Linked DNA regions of Oryctolagus cuniculus. The protein of the gene in region 1 purifies or fractionates together with the protein of each later gene. This does not show direct contact. Links are inferred from orthologs where the notes say so. Each region holds a gene or a part of one and is shown in the gene's direction. Other genes may lie near its edges.

Evidence for each region. The genes of interacting proteins can lie anywhere in the genome.
Region 2: the proteins of CTCF (region 1) and RPL26 purify together in Homo sapiens (affinity purification with mass spectrometry; 3 studies listed by BioGRID and IntAct, with this or other methods). This does not show direct contact. The link is inferred for Oryctolagus cuniculus from reciprocal best matches to the Homo sapiens genes CTCF and RPL26.

Annotation. Positions count from the first base shown.
Region 1 is NC_091449.1:50,881,997-50,884,753, forward strand, and holds the end of CTCF (transcriptional repressor CTCF), read left to right. Parts: intron 1-643; coding exon 644-828; 3' UTR 829-2,138; downstream 2,139-2,757.
Region 2 is NC_091448.1:52,826,487-52,830,732, reverse strand, and holds the start of RPL26 (large ribosomal subunit protein uL24), read left to right. Parts: upstream 1-1,361; 5' UTR 1,362-1,494; exon of another isoform or gene 1,495-1,831; intron 1,832-2,206; 5' UTR 2,207-2,211; coding exon 2,212-2,379; intron 2,380-3,232; coding exon 3,233-3,373; intron 3,374-4,246.

The DNA of each region.
Region 1 (2,757 bases):
AGCTGGATCAGAAGTGGAGCTGCTTGGTCTCGAACTGGTGCCTATATGGGATGCCAGTGCTTCAGGCCAGGGCGTTAACCTACTGCGCCACAGCACCAGCCCCTTAATTATTTTTTGAATGTTCTCCCTGAGCTCCAAGAATAGAGTTCTGTCAGAGAAAAGGAGGTTAAGTGCAGATCTTAGAAGCAGCTCTCCGGTTTCTTCTGCACACACTGGAGTGAGCAGACAGGTGGGAGGGCCTGGGTGTGGGAGAACTACAGAATCAGAAATGTCCGCTTGTCGTAGGTGTGTCACCTACGTCACACACTCTTCAAGTAGCCTTAGTCACATGCTGTCTCATTTCTTGCCTGCATCTCATAGTATCAATTTCTGACTTAAAACTAAGGATTTTTACGTGTAACTTGGGAGGCGTGTGAACGTGAATGTCAGCCTTTTGTGCTCTGATGGTTTTCAGAGAACTGGGACTCTGTGTGTCCATGTTCTGGGTCTCTCTAAGTCTCTGCTTTATTGACTTTCTCCGTGTCACTACTAAGGCTCCCTGTATGTTGCTATCCCGTGGACTGCACTGTGTAACAGGGTCTTGTACTCCTGGGGGCTTTAATGTACCTTTTGTTTTGTTTTGTTTTGTGCTCCTCTTTGCCAGCAACAGCCATCATCCAAGTTGAAGACCAGAATACAGGTGCAATTGAGAACATTATAGTGGAGGTAAAAAAAGAGCCAGACGCCGAACCCACGGAGGGTGAGGAGGAGGAGGCCCAGCCAGCTGCCACAGATGCCCCCAACGGCGACCTCACGCCTGAGATGATCCTCAGCATGATGGACCGGTGATGGTGGGGCCTTGCTGGGCGCCGGGACTGCTCTGGGCTGTGTTTAAACGGCCCACATCTTAATTTTTTTCCCTTTTTTCTTCTTTTGGCTTTGGGAAAAGCATCATTTTTACACCATTTTACCAAACAAACTGAGAACGAAAACTTCAAGGATGATGTTAGAAAAATGTGATTTAACTAGAACTTGCTGTTTGATGTTAACAAATCATGGAATGTCTGAGTCCCTGCGGGTTTACTGTGAAGTGCTGAGGGCAGTGTTGACGCCTGACTGGTTTCTGAGACGGAAACAGAGACATTGGCCCCTCTCTCTCAATACGGTAAACCACTCCAGAATGGCTGCCGGGTTTCCCAGAGTTCTCTGGTCTTCTTCCCAAGAGAGTTTTTAATTGTAAATGCAGACTTGGGGAGGCCTTAGACTTTTAACCTGTTTTTTGCTTTTGCTTTTTCTCTGACTCCTTGCTCGAGTCAGCTGCACACCAGTAGTACGGCATGCTACGATCGGTTACTGTCCTGAACGCTTTGCCTCTTTCTTGGCAGAGTTTCTGGTATGGTCAAGCTTGTAAATAACTTTTTTTACATTTTAATCTTTTCCATTAATTAAGAGGTTGAAAAGAAGTGCAGTGTGAGAAAACCCAGCATTTTAATTACTTGCAAATTAAGTTGCCACAGACTTGGTAGTGTGGAATTATTAAAGGAATTGGATCACAATCATGTAGCAGATCGGCACCCAGCCTGCCGCCCGCTAGTGACGAGCCTCCACATGGAAGATCATGATTTCCAGCCCATGGAGCCAGCATTTGAACTTTGTACAATTAACCTTCAGTTATGATTTCCCATTGACATTTTCTTTGCTATGTTTAGCAGAATGTTGCGTTTTACGAATCCCCTGTCAGAGCCAGAGGGTGACTATGAGTGGGTCACAGCAGTCCTGACATGCTGGGCCAGAAATTTTCACTAGGTCAGTAATTTAAACTTTGGATCTTCAAAAACAAATAATAATGTGAAACAAAACCAACTAAAAAATGATTGTTGCACATGAACTGTCACACGTTGAAAATGTGTTTTTTAGAGAGCCTCAGTCTTGCTGATTTCAAACACTTTTTTTCTTCTGTGTATTGCTTTTTAAGAGAGCCATCAGTTAGCTATCAGACTCTAGGTTGATGCATTTTGTACTTAGCTGTACTGTGTGATATTTTTCATTATTTTAGGATGCCAACACGAGACCTGTAATAAAATATGTAATGGGGTTGAAAGCTGGGGAGGAGGATCTACTGCTGTACAGCTAATAAATCATAACGGATTAACAAGTGCTCCGAGGACTCTTGTCTTGTGTGATTCCTGCCTGCTGGCCCCCCGAGGGGCTGGCGCAGAGCTCCAGGCCGTGCCGGCCTCCGCATCTTAGAGGCAGGCTGTGTTCCTGGGATAGTGCTTCCTCTCGGGCAGAAGGAGAGGATCTTATCTTGGAGGATGTCAGGATTGTGAGTGCATCCTGCTGCACATTTAACTCCGCAAAAATGGGTGTGAGGAGAGCATCAAGTGGATGGGCAGTGGCCGGCCTCCGTGGTCCGCCCGAGGAGCGGGTGCCCGCTGCACAGAGCTGTGGAGTTGTAGTTGATGGGAAGCCCTGTCTTAGGATCTTGGCTCAGGGAGGCTGGGACCACTACCTGGGGCTTAGCCAGGTACAGGGGAACAGGAGAAGCTGGGCCCAACCTGCCAGAAGTCCATTTGAAGCGGGAGACACCAGGATTGTACAGGGGCTACTGGTCAGCGCCACGATGATGGACGGGGACTTGGGTCGTGTTAGGAAGCTCAGGCTTCAGCTTGAAGGCATCGTGTAGCTGCTGGCTGTTTCCAGATGGATCGCTTTGGCAGTGTTGGGTTTTCTTAAATTCTTACTATTTACTCGAAAGGCAGAAACAGATCTTCATCC
Region 2 (4,246 bases), on another chromosome or scaffold:
GGTAGTGTTACAGAGGGAGTGAGACACAGAGAGAGATCTTCCATCAGTTGGTTCACTCCCCAGGTGCTGCAATGGCTGGTGAGGGGCTGATCCGAAGCCAGGAGCTTCTTCCATCTGCTGGTTCACTCCCCAAATGGCTGCAACAGCTGGGGCTGGGCTAGGCTGAAGCCAGGAGCCAGGAACCAAGAGCTTCTTCGGGGTCTCCCACATCGGTGCAGGAGTCCAAGCACTTGGGCCATCTTCCACTGCTTTCCCAAGCATGTTAGCAGGGAGCTGGATCGGAAGTGGAGCTGCCGGGACATGAACCAGCACCCATATGGGATGCCAGCGCTGGAGACAGTGGCTTAACCCACTACGCCACAGTAACAGCCCCACCAAATGTTTGTAAATCATCAAAATTCCTATTCTCCACAGACAGGACTCTGGGCCCTCAAGGATACTGTTTCTTTGACTTAACCCAGTGGGCTCCTACGATGTGGGGCCATAGAGGGAGTTGCCGGAAGGGGCTGGGGAGCCACCCTGCACAGGCGCCCTGCGACCTTGCACAAGTGTCACACCTCTCGGTGACTCAGCAGCTCCAGGTGTAACATGAGGACAATAATAGCAGCATCAATAGGGCTATTTTGGGAATCCTAGGAGTGGATGATGTAAAACACACAGAAGGGTGTCCCTAGCACTCGGCTAGCTCATTGCGTCTCGGTGCCCTATTACGAAACGTGTGTCTTCTGTCATTAGGACACCATTCATTCCAGAGAAACCACGCCCTAGCCGCGACGCCGCCGGCTCGCCCTACTGCAGCCCACCGCAGCGTCCCTGTGCGCGGGGGCGCACCCCTTCCCCGCCTCCCACAGATCCGGAGCTGAACCACGAGGGGCAGAACGTCCGGACAGGGGCCGTCCGGCTCCTCCCAAGTCAGCGCCGCCACTCTCGGCATCACCCAGGAGTGGGACAGCAACGCTGCTTCAGACCCGCTTCTACGAAGTGGGCTGGGGGCGATCAGGGGCTCCAGCCTTGGGCGTGGGGGCGGCGGGGCGCCCGGCTGGAGCTAACTAAAGGACCTGCACGTTTACACACCCACGTCATTGGCCTGGGCGGGGACCAGGGAGCCCAGGTGACCGGTCGGCCGGGGTCCCAGCGTCACCTGGTGGCCAGAGGTAAGGCCTGTCCTTGCCAGGCTAAGAGGGCGCCAGCCGCCGTGCAACCAGGAGTGCAGGGACGGGGTCCCCTGGGGCCGCCCGCTCCTTCGTCACTCGCCCCGGAAGTCAACAGCAACCCGGCCTTGGAAGGGAGACCTGGAGGAGGGTTTCACAGTCCCTTGCAGTTTCCCTCCGAGCCGCTAGGTGACACTAGACATCCACTTCTCCCAGTTTTCTTTCGACTCCGCGCCCCTCTCTCGCCGAGACATCAATCTCGCGAGATCGCTCGGAAACTTACAGAACCGGAAGTATCGTGTAAACCTTTTCCCTTTGGTGGCCATCGCCGGAGCGGCAGCTGGTGAGGGTTTCCCTGGGAGGCGATTGCAATCCACGCTCATCCGTTCGTGGGCGCGTTGGCTCTCGGATTCGGGGGCCCCGAGACTCTCCCACCAGCCGCACAGCAGCCAGGGAGGGGGTTTGGGGTGGCTTCTGTTTGATGCTTAGCTCAGGGACCACAGAAGGCGAAGGGGAGGGGGACAGGGGATTTGGGGACTCGGAAAGCGGAGCAGGAGCGGAGGAAGTCTAGGAATTGAAGTTTCCTAGATAACTGTTGGCAGTGAAGTCCACGCACAACCGCAGGCCGCGCTCGCCTCTAGGAGGGTCTTTGGGACCTGCGATCTGTGCAGGATTTCCAGGTGGGGGCAGGGTGATTTGGGGGGCGCCAGGTGTTCACACTCAAGTCTCTCGAAGGTGAACTTTGGTCCTTCCAAAACCTGATGTTACAGTTGAAAAATGGAGTTGTCGGTCATCTAATATAAAGAGTTTGGGGGGATGTAGACAGAAAGTTTAGTGATTAAAGCAGCTGTGTTAATGGGGCGCTCTCTCTCCCCCAGGGACATATAGAAAATACCCCAGTGGAGCGTTGTTTCTATTGAGCCTTTAGTCGACCGGCCGTTCAGCTCTCTGGTGTAACTGATGTCTGTGGTCTGAGTTTTTAGGGGGAAGTTGTTGCTGCTGTTTGGGAAGCGTGTGAGGTTTTAGTCATTGGAGGTTCTTAATTCTTCACACAGCCAAAATGAAGTTCAATCCCTTTGTGACTTCTGATCGGAGCAAGAACCGGAAAAGGCATTTCAATGCCCCTTCCCACATTCGCCGGAAGATTATGTCTTCTCCCCTTTCCAAAGAGCTGAGACAGAAGTACAACGTGCGATCCATGCCTATCCGAAAGGATGATGAAGTGCAAGTATGTATTCCTGCTGTCCGGGCGGATTTCAGGATGAGTCGAGCCAAAAACACGTTGCTTTTCAGTTCCCTTTTTATTGGGTGAAAATCCGTTTTCTCAAGCATCAGCTCCAGTCATAATAAAAGAGGCAAATTATCCAAACGCACCAGCAGAAGGTTCCTTGGGAATTAGCCTTTTCTCAGTATGTTGGATCATTGTAAAGGCATTTGAGGGCCCGAAAAGTTGCTAAGAATCTAGACTCAGAATCTCTTTAATGGAACACCATAGTTCCATTAAAGATTTGTCACAGCTACTCACATCTCCAGTAGACCTTGGAAGCAATTGAGTGTTTTGTTTTCAGGATGTAGCAATATAAGGAGGTCAGGAACTGGAAGGAAACGTGTTCAGAAGCACTTTGGGTTGGTTCTAACAAGCCGAGTGATGGCTAGGACTCCTGGATAGCAAACTGCTCACCTTTGCGAAAGAATTGGTTTGTTCACTTGTGTGTTTGTTGGAGTCCACTCTTGCCTGGCATTGAAGTGGGCACTTAACTAGGTTGTGAATTAGACTTGAGGCCAGTTCTGCTTTTGAGACAAAATAACAAGGTCCTTGTTAACTTCCTACAGAAACCCAAAGTGGTGGCTTCTTTTCATCCTTTAAATAAGCCTCCCCCTGCTGGTAGCTGTCAGCTGTAGGGATGCACTGTCCCTCTCTGTAGACACCTGGGGGCATGGTTTAGCTAAAACCAGGGAGCTAGAATCTTAATGTCATTAAGTCGTTCAAAATTGAAAGCTCTTAGAGATTTAATTCACTATTTCCCTTGTAATGATGATCTTGTTTTTATCTGCTTATTCCTGCTATTTTTGAATTTCAGGTTGTGCGAGGACACTACAAGGGTCAGCAAATTGGCAAAGTAGTCCAGGTTTACAGGAAGAAATACGTCATCTACATTGAGCGGGTGCAGCGAGAAAAGGCCAATGGCACAACTGTCCATGTGGGCATTCACCCCAGCAAGGTGGGTGTTCTGAGAACGCTTGAAACAGAAGGAAGTGAGCACAGTTATTAGCAGGTGTGACTGCTTGTTTACAGACAGTCGCAGGGAAACAGTCCCTGATTTTAGATGTGCTGGGAATCTTGTAAAGCAAATTCTGTATTTGTTTTGAAAATTCAAATACTACTTAAAATGTTTCTGAAACCAAAGTGTCTTTAACAGTTGCTCTGTTTGTATATTTAATGTATCTTTTTCCAAAAACTATGGGAAACCTGGCAGATGAACAGCCTTAGCAATTTATAGATCCTAAAATTTAAAAATAAGATCATTATTAGGTGAATTGGAGCCTTAGCGCTGTTCGTTTTTGTGTATCAGAGTGAAACATTAAGGGTGCATTACAGCCCTGTGAAGTAGGTAGGGGACCATTTATATACAGGGAGAGACCCTGCGGCTCTGAAGTCGACCAGGGGTGGTTATTGCATCTAAGCCAACATGGAAAATTGGTCTAATTCCCATCCAGCAGATGCTTTCCATGGTTTTGTTTTTTGACAGAGTGGACAGTGAGAGAGAGAGACAGAGAGAAAGGTCTTCCTTTGCCATTGGTTCACCCTTCAATGGCCGGCGTGCTGCGGCCGGCGCACCACGCTGATCTGATAGCAGGGGCCAGGTACTTATCCTGGTCTCCCATGGGGTGCAGGGCCCAAGCACTTGGGCCATCCTCCACTGCACTCCCTGGTGACAGCAGAGAGCTGGCCTGGAAGAGGGGCGACCGGGACTAGAACCCGGTGTGCCGGCACCACAAGGCGGAGGATTAGCCTAGTGAGCCGCAGCGCGGGCCTTCCATGGGTTTTTATGTGAATTCTCCCTAAAGCTAACAGCTAATGCATAGTGATGAGT